3 linked regions of the Arabidopsis thaliana genome follow. Changing the gene in region 1 together with any one later gene gives a genetic interaction. Each region holds a gene or a part of one and is shown on either strand. Other genes may lie near its edges.

What was found.
Region 2: of PIF4 (region 1) and PIF7, changing one enhances a phenotype caused by changing the other (phenotypic enhancement), as found in Arabidopsis thaliana (one study listed by BioGRID).
Region 3: of PIF4 (region 1) and HRB1, changing one suppresses a phenotype caused by changing the other (phenotypic suppression), as found in Arabidopsis thaliana (one study listed by BioGRID).

What each region holds. Positions count from the first base shown.
Region 1 is NC_003071.7:17,881,496-17,892,832, reverse strand, and holds PIF4 (phytochrome interacting factor 4), read right to left. Parts: upstream 6,036-11,337; 5' UTR 5,957-6,035; coding exon 5,766-5,956; intron 5,676-5,765; coding exon 5,021-5,675; intron 4,929-5,020; coding exon 4,848-4,928; intron 4,720-4,847; coding exon 4,654-4,719; intron 4,574-4,653; coding exon 4,256-4,573; coding exon of another isoform or gene 4,226-4,255; exon of another isoform or gene 4,118-4,225; coding exon 4,010-4,117; 3' UTR 3,746-4,009; downstream 1-3,745. Other genes in the region: PAO2 (polyamine oxidase 2), read right to left, coding at 1-90, 187-275, 361-476, 849-888; NAC042 (NAC domain containing protein 42), read left to right, coding at 10,249-10,441, 10,865-11,139. UniProt on the Arabidopsis thaliana protein: Transcription factor acting negatively in the phytochrome B signaling pathway. May regulate the expression of a subset of genes involved in cell expansion by binding to the G-box motif.
Region 2 is NC_003076.8:24,635,705-24,647,199, forward strand, and holds PIF7 (phytochrome-interacting factor7), read right to left. Parts: upstream 5,062-11,495; 5' UTR 4,736-5,061; coding exon 4,734-4,735; exon of another isoform or gene 4,590-4,733; coding exon 4,169-4,589; intron 4,092-4,168; coding exon 3,987-4,091; intron 3,921-3,986; coding exon 3,855-3,920; intron 3,761-3,854; coding exon 3,377-3,760; intron 3,292-3,376; coding exon 3,169-3,291; 3' UTR 2,896-3,168; downstream 1-2,895. Other genes in the region: AT5G61260 (Plant calmodulin-binding protein-like protein), read left to right, coding at 1,405-2,895; AT5G61280 (Remorin family protein), read right to left, coding at 7,921-8,121, 8,208-8,289, 8,379-8,529, 8,635-8,898, 8,997-9,058, 9,175-9,206.
Region 3 is NC_003076.8:19,955,598-19,966,591, reverse strand, and holds HRB1 (Drought-responsive family protein), read left to right. Parts: upstream 1-5,910; 5' UTR 5,911-6,169; coding exon 6,170-6,248; intron 6,249-6,338; coding exon 6,339-6,475; intron 6,476-6,949; coding exon 6,950-7,027; intron 7,028-7,118; coding exon 7,119-7,354; intron 7,355-7,438; coding exon 7,439-7,544; 3' UTR 7,545-7,720; downstream 7,721-10,994. Other genes in the region: AT5G49250 (Beta-galactosidase related protein), read right to left, coding at 647-1,249; APRR4 (pseudo-response regulator 4), read right to left, coding at 2,241-2,380, 2,495-2,878, 3,079-3,231, 3,457-3,658; AT5G49220 (hypothetical protein (DUF789)), read right to left, coding at 8,139-8,362, 8,454-8,548, 8,659-8,744, 8,824-9,049, 9,141-9,358, 9,585-9,965; AT5G49215 (Pectin lyase-like superfamily protein), read right to left, coding at 10,718-10,994. UniProt on the Arabidopsis thaliana protein: Involved in both red and blue light signaling.

The sequences.
Region 1 (11,337 bases):
ACGGAATTGTCACCGCTAGTACGATACAAGGGCAGTCCAAGTCTTCCAATAACTGGTGCGAGAGGATTCTCCTTGCATACTCCATGCAGCCTGTGACATAACGATGTTGCTGTGTTAGCCTAAAGTTAACCAAAAACCAAAACCAAAACATCATCTAATGACAGGATGAAAGAGCCGTGAGATTACCATGATGCACCAAGATCAACAGGAAAACCAAATGAGTAATCAGTGTGAACTCGTCCACCAATTCTGTCACGGGACTCCAGTACCATAACCTAAACACCAAGAACCACACCGTGAGAAAGAGATATCAAAATCAGCTATCAGGATATATTGTATAAAACATGAAACATCACAAACCTGAAAGGAAGCATCCTGAAGAGTGCGAGCAGCTGAAATCCCACCGAAACCACCTCCGATCACAATCACGGAGGGCGACCTTGTCTTCATCCTCTCACCAGCTGAAAAGCAATTAGCTATATGAAAACAAAGCACACGAATTAACGACCGTCCAAAGTCCAATAAAGTATCAATTCTTCTAACAAAGAAACAATAGTGATTATCAGAATTAAACAACCCCACAAAAACAAAACTTGTGGCAATCAGCAGATACATCCAAACAAGTAAACGCCACGAAGGAATCAAATCACCGACAGAGAATTCAGCACGAGGGATAAAATTGAGGACCCATTAAAAAAAAAATCAAATTTTGTTTGATAAACCAAATTACCCAGATTATAATCTAGAGTAAGAACCCTAGATCCTTCCTATACATCAACGATAACAATCCGTAAGCGATTTCACAAAAAAGTAACAGACTTTTCGATGGAGGTTGAAGAAAACAGTACCTCTACGCATTTGACGATCAGAGTTTTTCCTGGACTCCATGATTTTTTTTTCAATTGATCAAACGATTACTCTCGAGATTATTGGAATTACGATTACTATTATTATTATTATTATTACTATTAAGCTGGGGAGAGAAATGAAGAATAAAGATGAGAAGACAAGTCGTGAAGTGGCTCGAAATCGAAGATGAAAAAATCAGGCTTCCAAACAAATTCATGCGATTTTCTTCAGGATTTTTAAACCCCCTCTCTGTTTTTGGTTTTTGTTCACCCTGTTTACTCAGCCGGACAGTATCAACGCAGATCTACGACGATCGGCGATATCTGATTCGTAATTCAAGCGAGCAATGGGGGCCAAAGGATCAAAATTCCCAGAAAAGCCAGAAACGAGGAAGAAGAGCTAGAGAGAGAGAGAGAAAGATGAAAACAGAGAGACTTCTAGAGAGAGAAAACAAAAAAAGGTCGGATTTTTTAGGCTTTGGGTCGGTAAAGTAGGTTAGGTTGTAATTTATAATAACGCATATGCTCCCTAATTATCAATATAATTATTAATTTTCTTATTGGATATAGATCTTTTATTGTAGTTTTTTTAGTAATTTTTATTTATTAAATACCTTAAGATTAATTATTTAATTATTTTAATATTAAAAGAGTTAAATTCAGTCAAAGATTTAAGATATACAATTAACAATTTCAAGATATGAACAAATTATTGGTAAATAATTTAGAACTAAAATTAGATAAGTAGTTCATTTCTATATTATTTGCTAATTATATAGCTTCTAGTATATGTTAATATTACTTTTTCAAAATTTAAATATTTTCTTTTATCAATAACAAAAATTGTGAATTTAGTTCTCTGTTATCACGTGTTCGTTTCGGTAAGCTTGATAAGTTACGTAACTTATCAAGTGGTCCAGTAGGAGCACGTGTCGTGCATTTATACGTTTTCCATCAAATTAAAATGTCAACACGTCAGCTTTTATGTCTGTATCTGGTAAATAATAAATATTTTGTTTCTTAAGACCTGACGATGTAAATTCTTTTAAAAAAGGTTTCTAGACGATTCTAATGATTTTAATAGGTATGATATTGATAGCTATGATGAGTTTCGTAAGAATTGAAGACGAACTTTTACCATAAAATTCCAACGTTTACTGGATTTTTATCCTTTTTTTAAGAAATTTTTAGTTTAATTCCATGAGCTATGATTTACGAGTAAATTACTCAAATGCAATTTAAAAACTCAAATACTTAAATACAATTATCTGGGCTTGATGGCTGAGTTTAGTTATTGTTAAAGCTAATATTTTTTTGACATTGATAATGATTTTGAATTATTGACATGATGTTATAACTTTCTTAGTAGTTTTTTGTGTGGATAGTAATAAAAATGTTTTTCTAAAGATAAACAAAAAAGTGGTGGTACTATTTGTGTAGCTTTTTTCTGCTGATACTATTTGCGTTTCTTTTCAAGCAAAAAACTACAATTTACAATGGATTTTGATAAGTGTGCGATATATACAAAATTAGATCACATGGAAGATCAGTATTCCTATAATCCTATTTCTCTTCTTTATTTGAGATGGTGACATTGGGTAATACAGTTGTCGAATCATTTGCTATGGGTTACATGACTGGATTCTCAAACCTCACGAAAGTCAAGAGAAATGAATGGAGGATCTCACTACATAGAAACTAGAGGACTTCAAAATCTATCTAGTCCAGATGAGTGACTATATGGTTTTGGTATTAGAAAATCATTATCTATTGTGATACTAGAGGCTAGTGCTGTAAAGACGGTATGACCAAGATTTAAAACATACAGAAGAAATCTCTGGTACTGAAAGAGAATGTGAAACGAACTAAAAGAATCTATGCCAAATGAAGTCCAAGAAAGAGATTTTACTCCGTAGAGATCAGTGAAATATCATTGCTTTTTTCATACAAAAAAAGAAAGAAATATTATTGCTTTTGACTTTAGTTTACGGAAGATCATAAGTTGGCCGGGTCGATCAAGTCGATCAAACACAAAACAAAAGTCACGATTATAAACAATCCACTAAAATCATATCCGTGAACTACTCCTGCTCCAAACCAAATCTTGAATGAAATGGAAGAAACTCATCTTAGCATTTTAATTTAATAGTATATGATTTACATGATTTGAAGACCAGACACCTATTGATGAAGCATATATTATATATTATTTTTATTTTTTTGTATTTCTAGTGATATTTAACACATTTTTTATTTTGCCACTAAAATAATGTTATGTGGATGTTCCACGAAGATTGAAACATGATTGATGATATGGGTGTCTCTGTCTGAATGTATGTATCCAACCTTTGATCGGTTCAACTTTTACTATTGTTAAGTGTTTTCGATCGACTATTTCAAACTTTGGAATAAATTTATATATGAAAACAGTATGCAAAAATATCTAAGATATTTAACTCAATTATTGCTAAATAGATTCTGACCAGTATGCACATGGCTTAAAGACTTATAATGTCGATGTTTTTGACAATTGACACATGACTCTCACTCAAATCTGGCTCCATCACATGTGATTTGGCTTTTTCCATCTATACATAATTTTAGACAATCAGCAAGAAAAGCTTATGTTATGATTTTTTATTTATTTATGGAACAATATGAAATCATAAGATATTAATATTTTACCAAACTCTAGCCAGACGGTTGATCATCTGTGTTTTTCTTAAAGTTTTTTTTTGTGTTTCTTATTTTTTGAATATGAACATATGATTTCTTATTAGGGGAACAGAGAAAAATTGAATGGACTTTTAGATACATCTTCAAAATTAGGTGTGATCTATAATCTATAAGTGTCATCTAGTTCTATTTTCGAAAAAAATTTCGATTACTTAGATATATCCTTGTTTTGATTAGAAAATAAACTGCATCCCAAAGTTTTTACGATTACAAAAATCACATGTCCTGTTTTTAAGATGTTGTTTACAAAAAATCTCATCATGTCATTTTGACATACATAAACTCACATATACAGAAAATAACGTAATGAAGTTGCACGTTTACTCTATAATAATACATCCTTGAACGTTTTAAGTATGTTCAGAAAGATAGATATAAAAAAGAAACATACCAAAAATAAGGAAGTAAAAAAGTGGCTCACCAACCTAGTGGTCCAAACGAGAACCGTCGGTGGTCTTCGTCGGCACAGACGACGGTTGTTGACTTTGCTGTCCCGCCGGTGAACTAAATCTCAACATCTCCATCGGCTGCATCTAATAAAAAACCACACAACGTGTCAACTAAAACTACGTCGGTTTAACATTTTTTCTTATCTCGTATTAATGTAGTAAACCCAAAAAACATTTTACCAAAATCGTCGTTTAATAAACACGGCTTCGTATTGGCCTTACCTGAGTCGCGGCCTGCATGTGTGGGAACCCACCGATGTATCTAGCAAACCGGTCGGAGATGATCTGGTTTTGTACCGGGTTTTGGCAAACTAAACCGGGATTGTTCTGAATTGCAGACTGATCCATAACCGGAAATCGAGGTAACTGTACCGGGCTCTGTATCTGACGTATGAACTGCTGAGGTTGAACTCCGGGGAACATCATCGGAGCCGAAGCCGCCGCCGCCGCCATTCCACTCCCCATCCACATCACTTGAAGCTGTAACTGAAGTGATTTCAAATAATCTATGGCTTCGTCTAAAATCGAAGCTTTATCAGTCTGCAAAAACACACCAATGAATGAATCAATCTTCATTTCTTAATCTGATTCACTTTTAGATTTGATTTGTATCAACTCACTTTACTGCAGTGAGGTATTAGTTCTTGCAAAGCCTTCATTCTCTCATTGATCCTATCTCTCCTCCTCTATTTAAGTTATGAAAAGAAGAAAATAAAAAACAGAGTTTTGTATCTGTTTTCTTTGTATAAATGTTATACGATTCTCTAACATTAAACTATATATTATATATTATATAGACGAACCGATGAAGTACCCTTTCGGAGAGATTATGAACTTCAGCTGCTCGACTCCTTCGGTTTGATCCTGATCGTTGGTTCGACTTGTTACCGATTGCCTGCAAAATGTATTATGTATTACTCTCTGAGATAGACCAAGATTACGTTTTCAAGAAGTAATTATCATGAGTTAGAATTAAAGGAAGCATACATCTGATAGAGATACAGATTCGTCAGTGTGATTTATACGTTTTCTCTTACGGTCGGTTGTGATGCATCTTCCACTAGCCATTTCTTTGATATCTTTGCCAAAGCTGCAACCAGAGGAGCCACCTGATGAGGAACTTGCGTTCGGATTAAGCTTTTCTTCTATGTTTTTGCTTCGATCATGACTCATTGAGACATCGAGATCGTTCTGTGATGGGTTGCTTCCGCAATGGCTAGGTCCAACGGTCGTTACCGAGTACTGTTCCATTTCTGTTTCCCTAATCCCCGATGATGAATTTGTTAACCTAAATTTTGGAGGAGGCATGACTTGAGGAGGAGGGTCAGGACAGGCCTTAGGCTTAACCATGACTTGAGGAGGTTCAGGACTGGACTTAGGCTTAACCGTCTCTGAGGTTGGTCTCTGGAGGGGATCCATGGTTGAGAAGAAGTGGGAGGAGAAGTCGTCGGGTTCGAATGGGTCTTCATCTGGAGGGTATTGGATCCAAGAGACAGTTTCTTGATCTTCAAGAAAGGTGCTGGATCTTAGGGCTTCTTCATGATGATCTTGTTTCTGGGTTTGGGTTTGTTCTCTATGAGTTTGGCTCTGCAGAACCACTTGTCCATCTCGCCATAATAACTCCACTAGTTCATCTTGTGGCCTAGACATCAATACACACACACACAGACTATATTATAAAGTTTTTTTTTTAATGAATGAAAACATTAGATCAAAGATTATTAAATAATACCTGATAGATCTTCTATTAGTGGACAAACTATAATTCTCCTCAAAACTCCAACCTTGGTGTTCCATGTCAGATCTCTGGAGACATTTCAAAATAAAAAGAAAAAAAAGTTTTATTAACCTCAGAATATATTTTATAGCACTAGTGAACAGAGCTAATGATAACTTATGATTAAGAGATACAAGGAGGAGCATATATAAAATCGAATTTTATAATTCAGAGTCCTAATAGTTTATTTACTCTAATCATTATAGAATGATTTTAAAATAATTAAAATTTAAAGCAAGTCCATGAGTCCGTTCTCTTGTTAAACATCTTTTTTTATATTCTGGCAATCTAGGAAAGCTTGCAAAATAGTTATTTCCAAATATAGCCACATCTTATAAAACCAAAAACCCGTATAAAAAGAGTACTACTGACCAGATTAGGAAAGCTTCTGGACGAATCAGAAGTTGAAAGAGAAGATCTATATAACCTGATATGTGGAACTAGTCCAAGTTCCACGCCCAACACAACTCTCTATCTCTCTCCTCTCACTCTAAGAGACCAGAAAATTGTTGAGAAACAACTCACAAAACATGAAAGAAACAGAGAAGAAGAAGATGAGAGAGGTTCATTACTTCTTTTGGGTACAGACAGAAAGTGACAGGAGCATAAAGATATTACAGCGAGGGAGATAATGATTCTCTAGGGACAACAGTACTGCAATCTTTTGAAATGAACGACACGTGGCAAGTTCTGGGACATTGTGTTGGAATCAGTGGGACACATACAAGTGAAGATCTCTCTCTTCTTTTAAGCGATGAGATCTATTGCTTGATTTTTAGAGGTGGTTTCTTATCTGTACCTTATCTAAAAAAACTCTGAAAACAATGATTTGAGGGTGTTTTTGTCAAATCACAATCATCTATAGCGTTATGGTTTTTGTCGATACCTTTCTCATATATACCAAAATTATCTTTAACTTGACGTTTTATTCTTCAAGTCTTTTGCTATACGTCAAATTTAATTACGTGTTTGTTTGTTATCTACGATGTATATAAAAGATGATTTATTATCCGAGTTCAATGCTCTCAACGAGTTTATAATTGTTCATATCATCGTTTTTGGCGTTTATCACGTTGCATTGAAAGGGCACCCTTGGCTTAATAAGAAATACAAAAGAATTTCACACAACATACTACTACAGTTAGTTTCTGATAACCTTAATCTTTTTACTACTCACCTAATAATGTTTTTTTTGGTTGTAAATTGGAAAAAGATCTAGTATGTTCTTCGATGATTCATTTCGTTTTAAATAGGCAATTAATTCTGTTGTCGTAATAACAATTATTAGTGGACCATTGTGCCTACTTGTAATGGACCATATCCCATACCGCGTCTCGGTTTGTATTTCTAAAATCATCACATTAAAATAATATACTTCATGCTAAGTTTTCCTGAAATGTATATCATTAATTTCTATAAATTCCACATGAAGATTATTATTTTTTTAATTATTCTCTAGCAATGTGGTTTTAAAATATAATTTTGACCATACGGATTTCAAATTTTCATAGATTGAAATTGTGATAGCCAAATACAGGACGCGGAATGAACGGATCAACAGAACAATGACAACCAAACTGCAACTGCATTTTATTAAAAATTTAGGTGACAAAAACATAAAACATTAATTTTCATACTATAGTCTTCAATTATGTGTACCAGGTAATTGGAGTGGTACGCCCGCTCGAATGCTTCGGCCCCAAATGTGTTTGGGAAACATTCACACGAATGGTTTATTTTTGTGTGTCGAATAAATATTTAAGTGAAGTAGTATAGTAATAGTACAATATTACTTTTTAATTAATAAGACAGTCTAACTAATTTAGCCTTTTTATATTGTTGTCAGTCAATCATACCTATACTCTGTCGTGTACTGAAAATTCGTGATGGTGTTACGGTGTATGTAATTACTGATTAGTAAGATATTACTTTGCTGAAAAACATAAATTGTTTCAGCGCAGACAGTAACAATAAAATACTATTGGGCCTTACTGTCTAAAAATAATAATAAAATACTTATGGGCTTCTGAGTAAAGCCCAAACACTACACTTTGTTGTACGAAACGAGACCCAATATATTTTCTTAAGACGAAAAGAAACTTGTCGGCAGATTGGCGGCGGAGAGGAAGGAGAATTGAAGACTTGTTGCGGCGGTTAAAATAACTGTTGCTCCGCCGCTTCCACCGACCTCATGATAAATGTGGAAATTCATAAATGTAAATCAAAATGCCAAAGTTTTCTACTTTTCTTGCTGTCTTTCTAATTTTGATTGTTGTTTAAATTTTCTTTGTTGTAAGTATGAACATTCCCTTTTTAGAAACCTGATACTGATTGATACCATTCAATGTTTCCCTCCTTTTTCATGTTGAATAAATTTAGAAAAAGTTTATGAAGTTGAAAATTTGGATATTATGTTCCTTTGACTCTCTTCCTTCTTTGAAAACCTTTCTTAATTTGATTTTGTTTCTCTTCCCGAGAAGATTGGATGCGTACTGATATTGTTGTGGCAACTTTTATTACTTTGGTTTTTTTATAATGAGTTTTTATGATAATATTCAACAGTCAAAATCAGGACTTTGAATGTTATATAGATCAAATGGGTCACTTTCCCATTTGGCACAGGAGCTAAATCCTGGCTAAGTTATCGCCTGTACCTTCTTTGATAGTTTATTTCTCCTTGCCGTCGTTTTATACATCTTCTAAGGATTTCTGTCCTTTATATTTTGTTTGATATATAAATAACCAATAGCCAAAATGATTCTAGAACTTTTTAAAAATGAATTTGTTAAGGCGGTGAGAAATTGTCATGGCAAATAAACTCGAAAAACAACATTGTATTTGCTAAGTTAATTATTAAAAGTTTTCAGAAAATGTATATTAGTCACGAGATCAAATAACTTTGTCGAGTCGACCAAACTTTTTTTCTTGGACTATTTTACTAATCATTCCATCTATTTTACTTTCTCGTGAGAAAAATGTTAAGTGGAGTGGGTACTGACTAATTATGAGATCATTTAGGTGTCATCCTTAGATGAGCATGATTTAACTTATACATAGTTTCTACCAATTTCTTATCTACCAAGTCTGATCGGCAACTGTAAGAGTTGTTGTAAATAATAAGTAGAAAGTTGTGTCGTTTAGTCAAGATAAAAATATTCGTGTGGCAAAAATATGAAATAACTATGTTATACGTTGATTTCAACTTTTTAGATGCTAATATAGTGTGTGTGTTTTTATATAGTTAATCTGATCAGTAAACTCCAAAGTTCATTTGCCAATTCTCTATCACTTACTGTACTGTTACTTTTTATATTTATTGTTTTAGTTGGAAACAATTCCACAAAAAAAAATATATGTTGATTGATCCAAAAGAGTTATTAAATATTTCGGATCATAACAGGAAAAGTAGTAATCAGAGTGCTCTAACTAAGTACACTTTGGAATGCAGTTGAAGGAATTGTTTTATTGATTTGGTCTACCATCTAAGTTTGTGTTTGGCTCCCGGGTATATATCAAAATAGTTTAATTAGTCCACAAAGGAGGGCATATATAAAAGTTATCCTTTGGTTCCTATGTGAATCTTATTTTAATAGTATCTTTTACTACATCTTTTCAATATTTTGGAAAATTATTATATGGTCCAACCACGTGACTTCACCTATACGTTTTTTTTTTTTGGACAAAAACTTCACCTATACGTATGTATTGAATTTGCAGTTTATTGATAATCTGATGTAATTACAGTATAATACGTAACAACTACTGATAACGACATGTTTGAATTTCAATTATATATTACATCATACTATAAAATTAGTTGCAATAAATGATTTAATTATTTTCCGATGTCCTGGACTTTTCTGCATAACATAGCCCACCAATATCAAAATTATTAAACTATAAACAAATTTAATTCTTTTTTTATGTGCTTGTAAAAAAAAAACTTTCAAACACAGCCAAAACAAGTCTTAAGACAAAATAACACAAACTTAAAGTTTGAAAGCAGAACATTCGGATCATTAAAACAATAGACCTAAATTAAATTATTTTAGGTTTTGGAGGTTTCAGATTCTCTAGTTACAACACAGAAACACACTAATTATAGGAAAACTATCGCATTCAAAATATAAAATTAATATTTTGTTATTAATCACAAAGACCATAAGAAAGATGGATGAATTCATTCTTATAGAATAAACCAATATTAAATAAAAAATTTCTTTAAAAATAATACCCGTAAAAGATTTTAATACTTGGGAAAGTCTATAAGATCTTGTGTGCATAATAATAGTCAAAGTCATTCGTAATTGACCAAGCACCAATTAAACAGGCAAAAAAAATAATCAATAAATAGATAAATATTTACTATATATATGTATAGAGAACTTTTTATAAAGAATGACTTGATTGGTGTTCTAAAGAGATCGATGTAGTGAAGATGAGTGGCGAAGGTAACTTAGGTAAGGATCATGAAGAAGAAAACGAAGCACCACTTCCTGGGTTCAGGTTTCATCCGACGGATGAAGAGCTTTTAGGATACTATCTTCGAAGAAAAGTAGAGAACAAAACCATCAAACTCGAACTTATCAAACAGATCGATATCTATAAGTACGATCCTTGGGATCTTCCAAGTAAGTCTTCTTAATTATTGGATCATCCCCTCTATAAATATCAGCATCGTATATTATGATCAACTCATTACATATAGTTGTTTTTATTGTTTTTTCTACTGATTTTATCAAGAAATTAGGGACGTCCACTTTGAGATCTTGTTCGAATCAAAACGATAAAAAAAAAATTTGTATTTTGAATGCGATAAGTTAGTACATTTCCATATACTTATGATATGGGACCATCCATCCATACGAAGATCAGGTCAAATAAAATAAAATTTAGTATACTTACACAGAAATATCGCATAGTGCGCCTTTATCATCATCGCATGAAGATATAGAACACGAACTATGTAATGAAAGGGTATTTTATTTAGTTTTGATTTTCTCTAAACAATTTTCCACGAAATTAATATGAGCAGTTACTGTGGATTTTATTAGGAGTGAGCAGCGTCGGAGAAAAGGAGTGGTACTTCTTCTGCATGAGAGGTAGGAAATACAGGAATAGCGTTCGACCAAACCGAGTGACCGGTTCAGGTTTCTGGAAAGCCACTGGTATTGATAAACCGGTTTACTCCAATCTTGACTGTGTTGGTCTCAAGAAATCTCTGGTTTACTATCTTGGTTCAGCCGGTAAAGGCACCAAAACCGATTGGATGATGCATGAATTCCGCCTCCCCTCCACCACGAAAACCGACTCTCCAGCTCAACAAGCAGTGAGTTGTTTTATTTTGAATCATTTCATTTTATCATAAACTAATCTTTTTGAACAAATAACAAATTAACCGGTATGCATCAGACTAACCCATCTTGTCCACTTTTAGTGAGACAAGTTTCTAATATTCGTGGTGTTAAATGCTTTAGAAAGTCAGTCACGAATGTACATTTCCATACGAGATAGAGCTACTGAGAAA
Region 2 (11,495 bases), on another chromosome or scaffold:
GCGATATAACAATTCATATATTTTTTGTTCGTGGGTCAACACCTTGATCTTATCTTATTCTAAAGAAATTACGAAAAGAATCTAGAGATGTTCATTGGCAAGAATCATTCTTTAGAAAAAGTACCAAAAAGACTTAACTTAAGGTATCGGATCCCTTAAATGTCATACATATGAATATGATCTCACAAAGTAAAGTCAGTTTATGTAAAAAAAGAAAATAGTTACAAAACTAATAACTCTTTGTTTTTATGTTAAAGAAAAATTATGGATTTTGTGCTTTAGCCAAAATATCCTCCGAGCGATTGGAATTCCTTGTATGATAATATACTTTTGAGATTTAATATAGTGATCTAAGGAGATTATAGATTGAATTTGTCAAATTCATTTTTCGTGACCGATTATTCATGCATTTTTCATGATTTTGATATATAAGAGAGATTAATGAGATTTTTAAACAACACCGATTTTTTATTAAATGCATCCAAGTGTATCAGTTTTATATAAATGAATAAATAGATTATAAAATTAGGTAAAACATTAAATAACAAATCGAGCCAAAGTAAATTAAATAACAAAATTCTTTAATATAAAAATCAGAATCTCCCTCTCTCACAAGACTTCTGCACAAGAAGATTTCTTCCCTCCTCTGTGTATTTTTGCGTGTTCTTTTCCTAACTAATCAAATCTACCTTTCTTCTTTCTTCATATTTGTTTCCAACTAAAGATAATTTGGGAAAGCAATTTTCTGGTACACATATATACATTTTTCTCATATTTTACTGTTTTCTTTGTTTTTTCTCTCTTCTTATTCTGTGGAAATTCTCTGAGAGTTAGATTAGGCAGCAATCTAAAGGTATCTTTTTTCTTAATTCTTGATTTCTTTTTTGATATACGTTTTTGGTTATTTTTGTGTTTGTTTGAATTGTGAAACTGTTGGTAGGGTTTTAAGCGTGTGGAGTATTTATTGCGTTACTGTGTAGAAATTAGGTCATTGTCCTTCAATCTCGATCAGAAGTCAAATTTTTTATCTAAAAAAAGATCGGAGTTTTTTTCATTGTTTTGTAATACAAGTGATTAATTTTCGTAACGGATCATGATCAAAATTCAATTTTGTCGTTTAGGTATTAATGTCATTGATGATCAACGAGGAAATATACACATATTTGATCATGACTCTTAAAGTCAACATTTGTCCTTCTTTGAATGTATTGAGTCATCTTTGGTAGATTTTTGTCTAAAGATTTGTTCTTTATGATGTCAAATTCTAGAATCTGATTAGTGAATAGGTAATAAAAGACAAAGAATCAGTTTAGAATCCATTAAATTGTTCTAATATGCTCTGTTCATAAACGTCGAGATCTTTTTGGTAATGCACTCTGTTTCCTCTACAGGTTTATTTTGTCAATGGCTGAAGAGAATACTTCAGAGGTCAAAGATATTGAGAATTCTTCCGATACAAACCCTCCGAAGATGTCTGAAGAAGGCTCTTTGGAAACAGTACGTGTAAAGGATGTGGAAAATGTGGAAGATGTTATAGCTGTGGTAGCCAAGGATCAAGAAGAGATTATACCAGAGATTATTGAAGTGCCTAAGCCTCAAGGTGGGACTTTGAGACGCCATTCGACTGGAACGATAAGTAAACCGCAGGTTCAGTCCCGTTATCGTGGGAATCATCGTGTGGGTTCGACTCATGATTTATGTAAACATGGGAAGAAATGTGATCAAGATGATGCTGTGAAGCCGTGGAAGATTGCAAGGAGAAAGAGTGTTGAAGGTTCAGTTGTGATCAAAGTTGAGACACCAAGTTCGACAAGGAAGTCATTGGGGAGTGTGAGTAGACAGAGTCCAGGTATAACCAAACCGGATAGTTCTGTTTCTGCAAAGAGAGATGCCTTGGCTGTGAAGAAAAAACCATGTGCTTCTGTGAATTCAGAATCTAGCTCCAAAGAAGGTAGTGAGATAGCGAAATCTGTTGATGGTTTAAGCGTTAAAAGCAATGATAGAGCGCGGAAGAATAAAGAAACCGAGAGTGGTCTGAGTGGTTCAGCTGTTGTTAAGAAGGTTCCTGCCTTGAGAACTGATAAGTCAAGTACTTCTACGGGCGTTGGAAGTTCTAAGGTTTGTGCTCCAAAGAATCTGAAGAATGTGGAGAAGGCAAAGACGACTCAGACAATTAGCGGTGAAGATGTAAAAGAAAAGACTGTGTGTGTTGTTGAATCTAGCGTCAAAGGTGTTAAGAGTGAAAAGCAACCATCATCTGAGAAGAAAACCATGAAAAGTGGGAATAAAAGCTTGAGTACTACTCCTAAACGTGGTTCTAGTCCTACAAAACAGATTCCTGGTAAAATCAGTACCGGTTTGACTAAGAAGAAAGAAACTGGCTCTGCAGACGTTGTTGAAGCAAATCCAAAACCGGAGAAGAAGGTTAGGCCTAAGAAGACAGGAGTAAAGGTGAGTCTAGCTCAGCAGATGACTTTCAAGAAAGGAAAGGTTCTTGATCCTAAACCCGAGGATTCTTCTCCGAGATGGATCAAGTTCAAAAAGAGGGTGGTGCAGGAACTGAAAACGCAATCCGAAGGGAAGAAGAAGAATCTTAAAGATAGAAGATTGGGTGTTGAGACGAAAACAGATTCTTGTGAAGGAAGTAAACGTGAGAAAGTTGTTCTGAGGCATCGAAAAGTAGAAGGGAAGAAGAAAATGATAACATTGTTTAACAATGTGATTGAGGAGACAGTGAATAAGCTAACAAAGGTGAGGAAGCACAAAGTGAAAGCTCTTATTGGTGCTTTTGAAACTGTTATCTCTCTTCAGGACACTAATAAGACATCTCACAAACCTCAGAGCAAGGCCACAACATCTGCTTCTAAGGTTAGACCTTTGGTCTCCGAACAATGAAAGAAAGAAAAAAAGACAAAAGTTTATTTGTGCATATGATCTATTAACATTGAAGATTTTAAACTTCAAGAGCGACCAAGAGATAATTTTCTTGTTACTGTCCTCGAAATAGCAAAGGGTTTAGTAATGTACTTTGACAGTTACTGAATTCAGTTGTGAAGCTTTCAAGTTTTATCTGCAAGTCTTTTTCCATACTCAAAACAGTTTTTACAATCATGATACAACAATCTTTCAAGAACTATATATATGGATCAATAATACTAGGTCGCTAGACTAATCTCTTTTCTCATGATTCGAAGAACTTGAAGGCATGCCGATATTTACCTTTGTTGTTTGATCAGACTGTTGTCTATAGATAGCTGCTGCCATTTTATTGTAGAGATCCATATTCATTGTCTGCATCAGCATGGCCAATGGAAGTGAGCTCAAGATTTGTATATCTTTGAACACTTTTCTCGAAAACAGTTAAAAGCGGTCTTACCTGTGCGAAAAAGGCGCTGTATGGATCAGATAATGTGGCTGAAGAACCGTTGGTGCAGTCTCTGTTACCCATAGGAGGGACCATCATTGGTGGAGGAGGAGGAGGAGGAACTAAACCTCCATAACCATTTCCACCACCTCCCATTCCCATTCTTGCCATTGTTGCAAGCAACGACATCTGAAACTGTTGCTGCTGTTGTTGCTGCTGCTGCTGCTGTTGTTGTTGTTGTTGTTGGTGTTGGATGCTGAGAACTGACTGTGGTGGAGGTAGTTGCGGAATCATCATTTGTTGTGGCAAGTTGGCTCTTAGGCTCATGAACTGTACTTGTGCTTGTAGCTGTTTCAAGTGTTCGATAACATCATCCAAGATTGAGACTTTATCCGCCTGCAATATCCGAATAACGCGTTTAAACTGACCGATATCAATATAAACAAAGTTCTTAAACTTAAAAGTGGGTTCTTCTAGGATAGACATTTACCTTACTTGCAGTAGGAAGCAGCTTCTGAAGTGTTCTCATCCTCTGGTTTATCCTATCACGCCGTCTCTGCATCAAAACTCAGAGTCAGTAGTTTGGTAATCACGGAAAGAGAAAAGATGGATTAGTTTTTACCCTTTCGGACTCGTTGTGAATCGCTGCTGCTCGTCCCCGTCGTCCATTAGATCTACCTGCTTCTCCTCTTGTCTCTTGTTCATCTCCTTCAGTATCTTGAGTTTCCTATTAAAGTCCTCTTTTGGTTATTTCTCCAGTCATCTTTCAGGAAAAAAAGGAAGAGTAATTTTGTTAGTTGTTACCGATCCAGAGCGGAAATAGTCTCTGTCTCCGGTTCTAGCTGTCTTCAAGCTCCGACCGGATTCAAAAGACGCCCAAGACATATTGGTACCACTCGCACTTGCAGTGACGCTGTGGCCAACTCTATGGCTCTCCTCTTGAACAGCGAACCATCGGTCCATTTCTTGAGGATAACCGCGTTTTCTTGAACAAGATCCATCCTTGCTCTCATAATTGTGGTTTGGACCATTCGGACTCTGCAGCTGAAACTTGCTTGGCTGCTGTAGAGCCGCTTGATGAACCACAGACTCCAAAGTCTCACAACCGTTGAGACTTTGAGTCCAAATAGGGTTATTCGAGGTGGTTGGTTCTACTTCGTCGCCTAGACCATGAACGGTTAGTTGCCCATTTTCCCATGTGAGCTCTTTAACTCCATAATTCGACCTGAGTCACGAAAAAAAAGAAATTGGTTTTGTGTTAAGACTTAAGAGAGAGAGAGAGATAAACAAAAAAGGACAGAAGCGTAAGGTTTTGTCTCTTTTTGGTGTAAACAGAGAAGAGTTCTTTATCAGAAACAGAGAGAGATACATGTGTTACTTAGGCCGCACGTTTGCAGAGAATAAACTGACAATTAAGCTCTCTTTTTTTTTGTTCTCTCTATTATTGGACCTTCTCTCTTCTCTCTTTCTTCTTGCTTGAAATGTTGAGTTCTTCTTTCTTCTTTGTGTGTTCAAACTCTTGACAATCACAGCGACAACTCATGCGGTGTATCTGCCTTTGATCCATATTGAAAGTTATAATAAAGAGGCCTCTCTCTCTCTCTCTTCTTGTCTCCTCTTTCTCAAAAATGGTCCCTGCAAAACGTCAAATGGTTTTTATGTGGACGAAGCACATGTGTGGCAAAGGATTGTTTGTGTTTTGCCACTCAAGTCCAGAATCATCTCTCCTGCTTAAGGAAAAAAAAAACTAATAAAATGAGGGCATTTTCGTCATTTCTTCACAACCGACTCACATTGACATGAATGTGTTATTGCATGCATTTGACTACTCGGTAGAAAGCATAGCAAAGCAAAGCGTGTGATTCACCGATTTAGAAACAAACACATTTCTAATAATAGAATTTATTATTATTATTTAAAAATGTAAATTTTTATCGTTATACAGTATAATAAACGTAGTTGAAATATATACATATATGTAGACGCATTAAAGAATAGAAAACAAGATATATTTATTGGAGTAAACACGTAAGAATCCGAAACTATAGTATGGTATTCGAATGTCAAAAATGAGAGTGAGATGTGAGGTTGATGCATCAACTAGAGATATTTGATGCAAGTTGCTAGGAATCAATCAATATGTTCTCACTTCTCAGCCTCTTTTAATCACTTCTTTAATTTTTCTCTGTCCATTCCCATCTCACAATATATCAAATGACTTGTTCATATGATCACCATAAAAACATTTTTAAAAAGTAAAAAAAAAAGAAAAGCATTTTTAAGAAGTTCATTTTACAAAAAGTAATGTATGGGAAGAAAGTTTCTAGTCTACCATGGGAGAAAGAAGAACAAGAATAAGAAGAAGTTTTTTAGATTTCTCAAAGAGATATCTCATTGATTTCCATGAATAATTGAAGCAAAGATTGTTCTTACTTGTTTCTTAAAATGACATATTATGTTTTTCAAATTTTGATTTCTTACTGTAGTTAGTGTTTATATTGCTATCTAAGATATTTTTATATGTACTCTTCAAAATGGAGCATCACTTATTAAATTTCTTATAGGACCTCATGTGCACTGGTCCAGAGATTACCTAATACATAGCCGTCTAGGTAGTTTTGTACGTAAATAGGTAAAAATAGACGACTTTTTCAATCATTGGTTCAGTACTTTTGTATCAGATTGGTTACAACTTGCAACCATAAGTTGAGGCTTATAAGCCTTGTTTGTAGTGGAACAACAAGTTGATATGAATGAAATATGTGATGTTGAGTCAGAAGAAAAGAATACGAAAACTATAAAGTACAGAGAAATGGATAAATACGGATCAACCCCTTTGTATTGTGAGATTTTCTTTCCCAATCATTTGATGTCACATCAAAATCTTAAGTGATTTCACCCACTCCGCTCTCGAGTTACGGCCGACAGCTTCAAAACTGATGTCGTCATAATGACACGTGGAAAGATCTTATTGGATGGTTTTTTGGGACCCAGTGTTGATCTGTGAAATTCAGCCAATCAACTTCTCGCATTAGATTCTTGACAGCGAATCCTAACGCTCCTCAGAGTTATCTGTTCAATTTCAAGCTTTTTTTTTTCTTTGATGTTCAAACTCTCTTTTATACGAATTAGATTCTTCACATCAATTGTTTTCTGCTAATCATTTGATTTATGATAACTTATTCTTTGATCACTAGTTGATGGTAATGACTGTATTGACCAAATGATGTTATAGATTTACATAAAACTAAAAAATAAATAAATAAAAAATACATTAAACTACAAATTAAAATTAAATGTCACTGTCAATGTTCTTTTGATATTTGAATGTACTCTTTCAATTAACACTCGTAGTTTTCCGTGAGACTTTACAAATTTGCCTATGCAACTCAACACAAACCCGAAAAACAATTGTTACTTATCAAAATTAAAGAATATTAATATGGTTTCAATTTATCATAACAAGTTTTAGCTAGAATCCTAAAGTCGTCACTTTTGTAATATAAAAGCAGAGGACATGCATGTGTTCATGTATGTGTGCGTACGTGTGAGAGATAAAGAGGTAGATAAAAAGTGAAGAGATTGAAAGCTTGATTGAGCAAAGTTTAATCAGTGGATCTTCCGAAGAATTTTTAGGATTTATTTTAAGGATTCGTACTTGTTAACTATTCATGTGTTCTTTCATTTCAAGTTTCTATTTTTCTTAAGTCTTTCAAGAACACACGAGTTTAACAAAGTGAGAAAGATAGCTTTTATATAAGAAGAAAACATCATATTTATCAAGTTAAGTGAGTTCTACTTTTAACTAGGTAACTATGAGAAAGTTATATAGAATGTATTATGTTTATAAATGTATATAACATTTGAATTCATTACAAGGTCACGCAACGCGTATCCATGGCATAGGATCGGTGAACTTACTCTTTGCATCATAAATTGAAAGGACACACATCAATAGTTGGTGAATAAAATTTAAATCGTCGAAATTCTATTGATTGAGACTTGTACAACGACAATATATATTACAAATTTTCCTAATAAGAAGAGAGGATAGTAAATGTGAATGGTCCTGGCCACCACATAGGTGTTGCTACGTACCAATGGAGAAAGAAACTTCGGGTAAGAGAGTAACTTGGTTGGACCAAAGAATGCCTCATTTTCCTTTTGAGAGCATATCACAAATTGAGTTTAACGATCTATCAAAATCCTTTATGGTCCCTTTTTGGTGTTTACTCGTCTATAATATGATACATTTCATGTGTGAAATATGGTCGAGAGCGTGTGTAAACATCGACTATCACATCAATATTTGATTTTTATGGAGTATAACTCCATTTTATTATGATATTTGACATAACAATTAAAGCTTAAGAATTAGACAGATCTTTAGAAAAGAAAAGAAAATAGGGAATTAGGTTGAGAGACAATTGAAAACTGCAATATTATCCATGGTGATGATATCTACCAAAATTTATAATTATAGGTACTTACTCTTTATTTATGATTTGAGTTTAACACATACAAATATAGTTTCATTGATATAAGTAATTTTGATTTTAGTAACACCGAAAGCAGAAATAATTATTAGGAACTTTCCCTGTTCGACTCATTTTCTTTACTTTTCCATGAACTTGAGCTTCTTTGCTCCTTCTCTTCTCCTCAAGCTGTTTCTTGGCTCCATCAGCTATTAGTTGAATCCTTGCTAATTTTGACTTATAATGCTGATTATTAATCCCTTTTCTCTTCTCCAATTCACTCTTTATAAAACAAAATAATATATTAGCTAGTCGTCTGAATTATATGCATTAAAAAAAAATGTTTATTCACTAGATAATGAAATAACCTTTCTTTTCTCCATTAACAGTGTAGCTGCTAATTTTCTCTCATTCTCCCAACCCACAATATCAGCTTTCATTTTCTCATACCTTCAAGTAGAGTTTATTTTCCAGATAATTATAATAAGTAATGGTATTATATATACTTTTAATATTAATAACTAAGAATGAATTTTGACCTTAATCTTATTTTCTTGATTTGAGATTTTTCCCAAGAATCTGCTTTACTTGACGCTGAAGCAAGTCCTGATGTTCCGGAGGATGAGCCAATCTCTTGTGGCCGACGGTTTTCTGATGGATACTCCAACAATTTTTTTCTGAAACTCTCCTCTGGGGGAAGAAAAACATATCTATTACGATACATGTGTTTTTATTTCAATATATAAGCCAAGTATGATTACAAAAATGGTAGTAACCACTTAGATTAATTATTACCTCCAATTTTCACCTCTTGTGTATATGATTTGCTTAACCTCTTTACTTGGGTATTAGGTATAACCAGATTGGATTTTTTGGTCCTTGACCTCTTGATTTCTTCTCTTATTCTTTTCGATTTTTGTTTATCGGCTTCTTCCATTGATCTAATGACGAATGCAGCAACCGCAACAGAAACTGCCAATTCACTCTCTTTCTCGTTGTAGTAGTCATTTTTCTCGTACCAATATGATTGGTTTTTCAGCCAGTTTAATGCTGGGTAATCTTCAGATTGATATTGACAAAATTCAAAATTTTATATACATTCTTTATGAATCTTTATAAAAAAATATGGAAACAGATGTCAAATAAGCGTAAATTACCTGTTATGTCCAATTCTGATAGCATTGGCAAATCCGTTTTTATGTTCTCAGAGATTGAGACCCTATAAAGATCAAGAAAACAAAAACAACCGTTTTTGAGGGATACAATATAATGTGATTCTTATCAAAAAGATATCTACAGAATTAATATAATAAAAATGAGATTTTGGACGTGTACCTTCTTCTTCTTTGCTTAACCAAATTATCCATTTAATTTTCCCAATTAAGAGACTCCAGTATTGTTGAGCTTCCTATAATCCTATTTTGCCTTTGTCTTATATTAATTGTTTTGATTCTTGAATACCACGACAACGAGAAAATGTGGTAATTTTGTCTTGAAGCAAAAATAAGTAAATAAATAAATAAGGTGAATTCTTTTTCCACTGAACAGGAACATGCCAGGTATCAAAACATGTGATTTTATATGCTAATCTTCATGTACATATTCTTTCCACATAACTAATACCTATGTAAAAGCCACCGTTTCTTTAGTAAAATCTTTTGGTTAATTTAATGACGCTCTGTCTCTCTGAGTGTTCTAAAAGTCTCAATCGCTGGCTGGTTCAGGTTGAATTGAACCGGAAATTGCTAATTACGTGAAGATGGGTTTCTAGATGGGCTAATGCCCAAAATAGAAGCTGGCCCAAAAAAAACTGGTTGCCTTGTTATAACAGACGAAACAAAGAGAATTTACAAATTATGATACAAAAATTATTTAGTCCACAATTTAGTGCAAAATAATGAAATAACCGCAGCCAGTTATACTGTTATACCATGGGTAAATTTGTGAAATTACCATGATACAAAAAAGTGAAAAAACGAACAAACTAACACTTACATACAAGTACAATATATTAGGTGCATACATATACCCATTTGGACAATATTAATATGTGGTTAACAAAATAGACCAAATTAACACCCACTCCTTCTTGTTAACCTCACGTTATAATTATTTCAAGAAAATTTAGATTTCATCATTTCCTGTTGTTTAAAAAAAATTATAATCTCATACGTGTTAGTCCACAGCTTCGGAATTAAAACAAGGTTCGCTCTGTTTTAGGACTGAGTTTCGACGTTTCTCCTGTAGACTGGGTTCTTCTTCTTTCTCTGTTCTTCGTGCTCTGTCTGCAGGTGGAAGACGAGTCTGTGCTGGGTTTTTCGTCTGGGCTTCTGAGCTCTCTGCTTTGTTTCTTTTTGGATTCAAGGTTTTTCTTGTTTTATTTTCGGGCATGTGTGCTTGGTTGGCCCTAGTGGCTTTGTATGTTTTCAGGGCCTATATGTCCTTTTGGGCTTTTGGCCTTGTAATGTTTTAATGGAAATATAAAATTTTAAAAATAAAAAAAAATAGAATTAATCATAAAGCTCTCTCAAAAATATGTCATTTACAATCACACCTAAACGATTCTGCACCAATTAAGGTTTCATTGCTGCTCAGCAACTCTTTTCTTCTTTCTTTTTTTTGGTTTTGCAAGAGTTCCAAAATAATTTGAGTAGTCTATTGAGCTTGTTACCGTTACGCGCTCATGACACTCTGATTATAGTGACCAGTGAGGCAGTGACCACTCTCAACTAATAATGATATCAATGATCTTGCTACAAGTTGTCTGTATTAACTCATCCTTGTTTGTATCCAAGTAATTATTTTAGTGACTAAGGCAATAACACATGCAGATTCACGTCAATCAGTTTGTCCCATTCCTGACAGATAACTTATCATATTCGTTACAATGTTGTCATTTTTTTAAAACAAACACGTACGACATGTATAATTTAGAAGGTAATACTCAAGAAGTTGTCAATAAATTCAGTATCTATTATTTTATGAAGATGATATGATTTGACCTAACCAAATTCTTCAGCTTGGTGACGGACGTATAACGAATACTTATTGGTTGTCATCTACAATTATATATGAATTGCTTCATAAACTATTTCGTCGGCAAAAATTTCTTTCCAATCCTGAAGCGAAATTATTCATGTTGGTAATAGACTAATAGGCTAATTAACAGCGCTTAACGCGTGAATTTTCTTAAATCATCTTTCCTTTAATTAATTATCTTCTCAAATACTCTACAATTATATAAATGATTAATTATGATCCATGACTTTGTCTATTGTATATAAAAATATATATATTATAATGTTGTTAATATTTACAAGAAAGAGGACTTTTTTGAAAAGGAAACTTTTTTGTCTCCTCTATAATTTTGGTGCAAAGAATAATTATATATGAATGTAAACGTTTAGTAAGACATGCTTTGATGAAAAAAGCTCATTTGGTAGCTTACTGGAAAGAGCTTTTTAACGGGGTCAATTATAAAACCTTAAAATAATATCTAGGCATCCCTCTTGGAGGACAACCAAAAAAAAAAAAAAAAAACTACTCTGTAGAGAACAAAAAGATGAAGTCTAGTTGGTAAAAATTTAAAGTTTTCGTGTTAATATTAGGTTGAAAAAACTATATTCTGTTAAAAAAAAAAAACATACACACAACTA
Region 3 (10,994 bases), on another chromosome or scaffold:
GATTTATGTATATGATGTCTTATTGTCTTACTTATTTATCCCCAACAGTTCAATAAGAACTAAATCATGTTAAAATTTTACCAAAAAAAGAAAGAAAGAGCTAAATCATGCTAATATTTTACCAACAAAAGAAAAGAAAGAACTACTTTATTTCTAAATAAGAAAATAGTTGAATGGAATCTACCCATGAATTAAAGTTCCCAAAAAAGAAAGACTAGAAAGCAAATACAAAATTTTAACTACTAAGTATGTCTTAGTATGGTCTGTATCATGATTTAAAACAATAAGTAAGAGGTCATGAACTATATATGAATATCAATTAAAAAAACGGAAAACCTCTGTGACTGTTATCAGAAGAAATCTGAAAATCACACTAATACACATAACTTTAAAATAAAATAACTAACAAAAGATGATCTATAAGCATTTTATTGGGTGAACACCTCTCTATTATTTCTCCTAACATCTCTATTAGTAGAGTGATCAAAAATATGGGTAATGATGACTAAGATATTCAGCTGATAAAAACATACTGGTAACACCATGGTCTAATCTGTTACATTTTTAATATCATCTAATTAAAAACATGCAAAATCGGTTGACCACAAAAAAAAAAAGGAAATTGTAAAGAGAAATTGTGAAAATATCATTTTTGGAAAAGGCAAGGAAGCGCAATGCACCATGAGAGGTCACGGTAAATCGAGAGATCATCCTCGAAGAGTTCGAAGGACGACGGATTAGTCACAGTCGAAGGATATAGTGACATTGACAAACGGATCAATGATATGAATCTCGCCGGAGCAAGCTTCATTACCCACAGTAACACGATACCAAGGATTCGGGAGACTATGGTGCGATAGTCAGGTGAGGGTGGCTTTAGAAACCAACTCGAATGAGGATCTCTCCGGTCAATAGCGGCAAAGACTATGAAGCATATGGTCTGGAAGATGGAGATGATAAAGAGGGTACAGTGTTTGAAGACGAAAAGTGAGCTGCTTAGTGGCAAATGAGCAACGAAAAAGAATAATCCAATACCACAAATGCCACAACAATAAGAACGATTCAAGGAACTTAGCACAACAATCTTCAATTCTTTATAAGGATACCATAAAGCCTTAAAGGTAGCTAAAACCAAGGTTCGCATAAGGTAAATGAAAACCCAAACCGTCAATGTTGATGTCTCTTTCACATGGAGTCCATGACCATAGAACAGAGGAGATCGACACAAAGAAAGTAATGGGCTAAGCATAAGAATAATGAGTTCAGACCTAAGATTAAAAGCCTTAGAATGATTAAACCAGCAGGTGGGCTTGGACCTTATTATAGGTAATGGGCCAACAGAAGAGTCTAGGTCCACTGGGGAAAACCCTAGGTTCACTTCAGGATGCCAAAATGGGGCAGACTCTGACCGTGGTTGTGTTGAGGTTCCAGGGGTTCGTAGCCTTTCCTACAAAGGGAAGCAGATCTGAAGGGAGTGTCCAAGGAGATGCAGGGAAAGAGTGGGAGAAGGGAAGAGCACAATGTCTCATCCTTCCTTCTTCGATTGGATCTGAAGAGCAACCTGAAACCGATGCAAGGTGAGGTAAAAAGTTTGGAAGGGTTCGTGGTGTGTTTTTTGTTTTTTAATCTATCCTTTTAGTTAAAAACTATTTTTTTTTTAGTTTTATAGAAAAAAATTTGTAACTCAATCCATTAAATTATAGTTTTTTTTTACTTTATACTCAAATAAAGTTATTTGCTACTATCTCATAGTTAAAACATATAAACAATAATGTTAATTATGTGGTTAACTAATATTTTAATATTAAAATGACATATATTACCTACTCCCTATGTATAACTTTAAGTGATGTTTAAGAAAATTTATTTTGTTTCATTTTAAGTGATGCTCTCATGTTTCTATGCAATAATTCAATATCTAAATGTTGTTTTTTTCGACCAATTATATTTTAGAGTATGTTTTCAAATTGGTTGAATTCATTTTATTTAGTTTTGTTTCTATGTAAAAGAGGTATATTAAATGAAAGATTTATGTTTTCATAATTTATGTGTAGAAACCTTAAACATCACTTATAATGATGAGGGATCAGAGTATAACATAACTAAGGTAAAATTACAAATATATGGGTTGAATTTGTAATTTTCATAAGTAAATTATAAAGGGTCATTCTGAAAATCAATAACTAAATAGATTTGAAATCTTACTCCATTTTGAAGTATAAAAAAAATGGAGATGCTATTCAAGAATAAAAGCAAAAATGTTGTTGAAAATGAACAATTATGTTGTATATAAGAAACGTTACCTGAAGATGACTGGCTACGTTTTCTCGACTGATGTAATCAACCTTCATAACATCTAATATTTTTTTGGGAACAGCTCCTGCATGAAAATATAATTATTCACACATTTATTATATAAATATAGAGAGGTATAGTATATATAATAAATTGGGAATGGTAATTATAAACAATAATATTAGTGTTTGTGACTCACTTTCGAGTCCAAGAAAATCCACGGCGTTGAGAAAGTTTTGGTGAAGCTCCTCGTCCCAAACGACTCGTCTTTTCTTGGCACTAGAAGCACAAGCACGATCATTATGATCATGACGATCCTCCTCGTTGACTTCTGCTTCAAGGCAACTACTTCTTTTACTCTTGTTAGGGTTTCTTATGGTGGAATCTCCGACAGAGGATGATTTCTCACCTGCTGCTTTCTCTGCCTCTCCGGTCACCACACTCCTCCTTTCTCTCATCTTCTTTACCAAATGTTTGAATACTATCCGTAGATCTTCGGGTCTTATCGGTTTTATAAGATAGTCGGCAGCACCGTTAATCATCCATTTCTTCACCGACTTCACTGAATCGTCTTCAGATATTACTGCGGTATAAAAAAAGGTGTGTTTTCTTGTTGCATATCGAATTTACACTTAGTTCAATGAAATGACATTTTTATTAAAATTATGATACGCTTATAAAATAGTAAGAGAGAGTAGAGAGAAAGACATCCTGCGTGATGATTGATGAGTAAAGAGGATTAGAGCTTTATGTGCTCTGTTCTTGGGTGATTAGATATCTTACTGATGATTGGAAGATCCATTTCCGATCCGATTTCCGAGAGAAACCGGAATATATCACCTTCTGCATTATTTACTTGTATCATAGCGAGGTCGAACCTATTCCTATGGTTGCGGAGTGTATGCATAGCTTTGTTCACTTCGTTGCATATAGTCACTGCAAAAATACACATCGCCATTAATATGGAGAGATCTAGTCCAAAGCATGTCATGGCCTCAAATATAGGTCAAAATTTGGGAGAAATGTTTTAGGTTTTTTTTTTGTCAACGACTATATGAAAAGGGGAACAAAACTTTTTCATACATTTGAAAATGTTAGACCAGCTTTGAATATAGACTTAAATAAACACTAGATCAACTTCGAAAATGGTTAAATAGCTACCTTGGTATTGAAACTTTTGGAGATGTCTCTCCAATATCAGAAGATACGATGGATCTTCATCGAAGACTAACACTCGCAAACCTTCAGGAAAGTTGCTTGAAAACATATCATAGAAGTTTGTTAGATTTCTAAATGGACCATCATCACCGTCGGTCAAGACTCCACGGTGATCCAATATCTCAGCCATATTTAATGGCTGCATATAAACACTCTGCGTGTTTTTGTGAAGGTGTCCGGCCTTTTAAACGAAGGAAATCTGAAGAAATCTGTTTTTTTTTTTTTTTTTTTTTTTTTTAAAGATTGTGATCAAATTTTGATATTATCTTATACAAATATTAATGTCATTTTTAAGAGTAAAATTAGGAGGTGGACCCCAAAATCATCATCTTGTTAACAGATTTAGAATTTTGAAAAATTAAAATCGTAACAATTAAAAACTATAATGTGTTAAAACAATTAAAATCCTCTCCTAAGATAACACGCCACCATCTATTCGTTTTAATAAAACCGTTATCACGATCTTCATCTCTTTTTGCAAAGCTTCTTCATGATCATAATTTGAGTTTTTCAAAATTAAAATGGATCCTCTAAGCTTTTATTTATTTATTTAATTTATATAGTTAGATCCAAAGCTAAACAAAGGTAAAAAAAAAAAAAGGAATAAGATTCTTACAATTTAGAAAAACTATAAACATTGTGAGGTAAAAACTCAACTAATTAATGTATGTCTAACTATCAAATATAACAAACTAAACATTTTGCTATAAAAACTCAACCAGTCAGTTTAAAACACTCATAAACATAAAATTGCTATATAGAGAAATGACTCTTGTGTCAAAATTAAATTACTATCCAAATTTTCCTTATTGATTTCAAAAATTCAAAATTTGTAATTTTGTTTCATGTATTTTCTTTTTTGAATTTTTATTTAAAATATTTTAGTGGATTTATCATAAGGAGTTTCGAAGTTAACATTAGTGATATGAAAATATATAAAGAGAAAAATCAAACAGAAACAAAAGTTTAAGAGATCGGATGAAACTAAATTGGTCGAAATGAATAGATATTTAATCAATAACAAAAGGAAATAGCTATTGAAAATTGTGAAAACAAATGACAGAAAAATGGTTTTGAGAAATATGTCAACAAAAAAAAAGAGTTGGAATTAAGCATCAAACTACTTCTATAAAATTTTAATAGAGATATTCTTCACTAATTACTCCAACAACCTTTAATTTTTATAACAAATTGCAGTTTTTAAAAAATCATAAGTAAATGAATGAACGATGAAGTATCACATTTATGTTAATTTCAGTTCGAATTATGAATAAAAAACCAAAATACTTGTTAAGAAAAAAAAACCAGTTTGTTTTTGTTCTTAACAAAAAAAAGGAAATTGGGGATCTTTTTGTGCGTGACCATAAGTATTTTTACTTTACAAAATTTGCATGCATAAATTTTAGTATTAAAATAATATATTTACTTTATAAAAACTCATATGATATTGGCTCTAAAAAAAATAACAAGACTAAATTAAAAGTGAAGTTAACCATGATAACTGTAAGAAACATTGTTAGGATTAAAATCTTATAAGGTAATATCATACTTTAATTTATGAAAAAAAGAAAGTCTTAGAGAGCCTTACTTATTAATTTTTTAAATAAAATTCTCTTGAACAATATCTTCCTTTTCAAATATTAATGTAAAACTTTTTTTTTTTTTAATACCAATATTAATGTAAAACTTATGTAAACCAAAACCTTCTACATCGTCGTTAGCAACCGGTTTAACAATTTTTATGAGTTGCTTTCTTTTTTTAATTATCACTTTAGGTGACTCTCCTTTTCAGTTGCTTTTAAACCTTGTACTGTTCTCCCACTTCTCCTTGCTTATATATTGATCAAAAGCTCTTGAAATGTAGGAAAAATACGGTTCATATAAAACTTCCTTAATCAATCTTAGAAGAAAAATCGGAAAACTTTTTTGATCAGAAGTTTCGTTCGATATATGTCTTGAGCTCTAGGGTATAGTTTCAAAGATTCTAACATGAGATATGGTCGAAGTCAAAGTCAAAAGACCTTGGGACTCAACACGTCAAATCACGAAGCTTATAATAGTATGTCCGATCAAGAAAAGATACAATGCTCGATCAATTGATTTTAATATTTTATATTGTAAAAAATTATATAAAAAAAACACATTCCTCTCCATAAAAATTTTGTAGTAGATTAACCATTATCAAAAATAATAGTAGCATAATTAAAAAGCTTAAATATTTCCCCAACATCAAGAAAACCAAGGTTGCTAATATATTTTTTTTGTCAGAATTTTTAAAAAAATAGTGGTTCATGTCAATGTCATTTGCTATCCACTTTTCTACTAAAACCAAAACTTGGATACAAAAAATTAGATGGAAAAAGGAAGGAAAAAACAAAAAGCACACGAGCCAGAAAAAGTCACACGTGTGAAAGTGAAACATAATGAACGCAGTACAAAACACAACTACCACTAGTTTCGGTTTGGTCAAGACTGTAAATACTCAAACAAACTCCGAACCAGTAGTAGTAGTTCTGGTCACAGCTCTTTGTTTCCACTCTCTCTCTCTCTACCTCTCACATCGTTCTACTTCTAGGGTTTGGCTAATTTAGATTCAACATCTCCTTTAAAATTCTCTGTTCTTTTGTATTCCTAATCTTTAACAATTTAAGAAGAAATGGATTCGAATTCATGGATCAATTGTCCCCCTGTGTTTTCATCATCGCCTTCTTCACGCCGTTACCAATCTCGATCAGGTTTGTTTAAAAAAATGCTTGAGGTAGATTGATTATGTAAAGTTTCATCCTTTGTTCTGAATTGATGGTGATTAACACTTTTTGACGCAGATTTGTATTTGGGAGATGTTGAAGGAGAAGACGATTTGAAAGCTGAGTTTATGTGTCCTTTTTGTGCAGATGAGTTTGATATTGTTGGTCTTTGTTGTCATATTGATGTGAATCATCCTGTTGAAGCTAAGAATGGGGTAATGTTCATTGAGTTTTTTTTATTTCAAGAGTTTCATGATGATTCTTAGGTTTTATATTTAGGTTTAAATTTCCAAATCTCTAAGCTTTCCTGAAATAGAAAAAGTTGCTTTTCAGTTTTAACCCATTGTTTAGCTTAATCAAGTGAGCATTGTAATTACCATTTGTAGAAGATTATATAATCAGTAATTTAGGGTCTCTTATGTGTCATCTTTGATATGAGAACAGAGTGCTTAAATGATCATCCGCATTTTACATTTACATGTTATTCTTAGATTGATTATGTTTATACTTAGGTTTGATTTCCAAATCGTGAAACTTGCTTGTAATGGAAAAGGTTGCTTTTTTACGCAGTGTTTAGCTTAGTCAAGTGAGCATTGTAATCTCGCAGTGCTTCTGGATTAGAAAGTTATTTAGGTTCTCTTATGTGCTATCTTTGATGTGAGAACAGTATGTTTTTGCTTTGTTACTAGGTTTGTCCTGTCTGCACAAAGAAGGTGGGATTGGACATTGTTGGCCATATAACAACGCAACACGGGAACGTATTTAAGATATCCTTTTGAAACTTTGATATTCTCTTTTAACGGTTTTAGTAGAGTTTGAAGAGTCATTTTGTGTATTCCTTGACGTGAGAGATTTTACGTGCAGCGAAGAAGAAGGTTGCGTAAAGGTGGATATAGCTCTACCTATCTTACTCTTAAAAAAGAGCTTCGAGAAGCTAACTTACAGTCTCTTGGAGGGTCTTCCACTTTCATTCCCTCTTCCAATATAGATTCTGATCCTCTACTCTCATCCTTTATGTTTAAACCCCCTTCGGCTATACCTATCACTGAAGGAGACTCGGTAGCACAAGTCTCACCTAAGGACACCTCTAAAAGGTATAATTCCATACTGTATTCTCAAAAAAATGTGTCGCTTCCGTTTGTTTTCTCACAGTGCCTGTTTTTATCATTCCTTTACAGCAAAATACAACAAGAATCATTCTCAAACGAAGATCAAGAGAAGGCAAAGAAGAGCAAGTTTGTGCGGGGCTTGCTTTGGTCAACCATGCTTGAAGACAAGTTCTAATTTATCTAGATATCTTATATTGTAATCAATGTATCAAGAAATCATACATTAGTCTCAATGTATGTAGCAGAGGCTTGTAGCAAGCATAATGGCATGCTGAGTATGTTGTAATCGGATGTTCGTGGGGTATCTTTTATGTGCATAATCAGAAGATATATAAGTACTATTTCACTCTACTCAGGACTCGTAAAATTAGCCAACGCTTAAAACTTTTCAGTATAAAACTTATAAGCCAACCCTGTGTTTCATCAGTTCAGCAATCAAATTGTATCACAAAAAGTGTTGCATCTCAACATTACAAAAACACTCCTCGCAAATTTCACTATATGGGCTCCTCAAATCCTTATTCAGGGAAAATCAAAAGACTAAGTTTCAGAAGAAGAAAGAGGAAGATTAGGCTACAATTCACAAAGCATCTTCTGGAAACGAAACAGCAGAGACTCTTAAATCGCCTGAAAAACACGCAAGAGTCTAACCACTATTTGGTGGTTCTTCAGTGTAAGAGAGACTTTATATGTGAAGTAAGAGCAGCAGATAATGGGTCTTTTGATCAGACCAGAGCCAAATCCATGGTCAAGAATGTATCTTTCATTTTCACCTCATTTGTGGACTGTTAGAGGTGAAGAATCTGTAGTCTGGATGATCAACTTGCAGACGCTTGAGCCATTTATCTGCAGCTTGTAGCAAAGAAGTCATCTTTTGGGACTCTTGAATTCTATTTTGGTTCCACACAGATACTTTCAGCTTATAAGATGCGAGTCCAAAAGTAGGCAACGGTAGCTTTGTGGATGGTTGTGAATCACTACAACCCATAGCACCTGCTCCAATACATACACAACACTGAGAAAGAGATCACAAGTACGAGGACATAAGAGGATATTGTGTTCCATTACGTCATCGGGTGCTTACTTTGAGGAGGTGCTGTTGAGAGAGAGTGAAAAGTTAGAAAGCAGGCATCAAGATTTTGTAGTGTTGGACCAACCGGTATTCTGTATATTGGATACCTACACACCAACAAATTCACAACTCAATATTTTCAAATCCATTTCCACATATATTCCAAAATGTAACGATCCCAAGAGTCAAGACTCAGGAAGGTTCACATGAAACATACCATGACACAGAGACCCAACTTGAAGGAAGAAGATCACAGCTCCGGTATGTCATTAGCTCAGGAACTCTTGACGCGAGATCCGAGATCTGGTGTGTATGAAAACTTTATTAGAAAATATTGAAAGTTAATAATGATCTAACTGTCTTTGCTTAAGAGGATATTTACTTTGTTAGCCAGAGGTTCCCTGCCAAATGGAGGTTCATACTCCAAGTACTCGAATAGTAATCGTCCCTGCGGATTGCTGATCTCAGCTTCTCCACTAGACAACGAGCCAGTAATAGATTGATCTTTCAGACTAATTCTATTCAGTTCACCGACACTCAAGTCCACCGGCAAAGTCCTACTGTTGCTGCTTCCTTCACTACTTCCTTCATTATCTCCAACTGGATTTCTATTCAACAAGACCATAATCAAAACCGTCAAATGTAAAAAATCCTGGAGTTCTTCCGCGCAATAAATCATATACATATCAAACAACTAACCTAGGCTTCTTCAACGGATCAACATACAACTGAATACCGGATAAGTAAGGCACATAATACTGCACAGTGGAGTCATTCCCATGCATTTCTAGAGGATGCATCTCTAAAGGAACACCAGCACCGTATGCACTCCATTCAGCAAATGACTCCCAAAGATCCTCCAAAACAAAATACGTATGGCAATCCGATTCACGGGTTTTAAGTTCCCACCTGCTCCTCTACACAAAACAAATTGCAGCAAAAAGCAATGCTCATAAGCCATAATACAAAATCAACTGAGTTCTACACTAAATCACATGACAAAACTCAAAGTCTTCTCCAATTCAACTCTATAATATCAAACAGAGATTACAAACACAACGAACACTATAGTATCAAGTTCAAGTAGCCACAACAGACACAGAATAAGTATCAAGACCCAATAGATTTGAAAACAGTGCTTACCATGGGAAATAAACGAGCAGGAACAACAGGAGTAGTATGCTCCAAGAACCGATCCAAGTTAGACCCATCACTAAGAACCCGACCCGACCCGGAAGAAGAATCAGAAGAACCGGCACATACTTCCGAACCCGAAACAACAACCCGACTCTTACTCTCCGACACACCAAGACCTTTCCTAGTAGTCCTCGGAGCAACAGTAGCAGCCTTTCTCCTTTCCTTATCCATCAAAACCTCATCTTCATCATCACGACGTTGCTTCTCCCTAATCTGTTGCTGCAATTGGGCCTCTTGCTGCATCCTACGCATCGGAGGTGGATTATAAAACCGATTCTCACCACGGATCGCTGTACGTGCGATTGAAACTCCTCCAGAACCCGACATTGTTTGCTAATTTCTCAAAATCGATCGCAAAAATCCAAAACCCAGATGAAGCAGAAATCGGATAAAAAAAAGTGAAATTTCTTTCTCCCCAGAAAAAATAAAGAAGAGAAGAGACTAAAGATTGCTTCTTTTAGGGTTTCGCTTGATGATACGAAGTACAGAGTTGGAGAAACTGAGGAAGTGAGTTTCTAGGGTTTTAGAGAGATTGGGGAAGATGAAGGAAATGGGTGAATTTTTGATTATATTATTATCTAATCAGGAAGGTGATGAAAAATATTTTATATAAAAATAATTCTAGTGGCATACACTAAATTAGTTAATTTAATAATAATAAGTTGAACATAGTGAGAAAAAGTAAATATTTACGGGTGTGGCGAAAAGAAGAAGATGGTTGGAAAATGAAGAGATGTGTCTCTGTGTGGTTTGGTAAGCGAATGGTTTCGTGACGTCTCTTTTTACGAAGCAGCTCTTTGTTATTGGGCTGGGCTTTTTAACGAGGCCCAAATATTTAAAAAAATTAATATCTGGTTACTGGGCTAATACAAAATTTCTTTGGTTACACATGAATGAAGAAATGAACCTGTACAAGATATATTAATCTCACAAGCTGCAAATAACAGGGACAACAACACCAACAAGGAACAGGTAATAATTCTACACACTGTGGTTTATTTTTGGGGAAAAGAAAAGAATCAGAACCATTTGCTCTCTCTTAAACAAATATGAATCATCATTCCTAATGAAGTTTGGTTTCATAAGGCCTCAGCTCTACCATAGTAACTATCAAAACTCTTCAGCTCAAGGCACGGTTCAGGGACTACGAATTCCGAAGACCCGTCAACATATGAGCATTGCCAAGAATCAGCAGGGGAAGCCGAGTTTTTAATCGACAGAGAGATATTCGATAACAAAATCGAAGTGAAAGGAGACTCTTTCGTTCCAAAGAAATATCCAGCAGTGCTTATGTTTTCTCCAACAATGTCATGTAACCTGATGTGACTCACAAGCGGGTAAGCATTTTCATCGAAA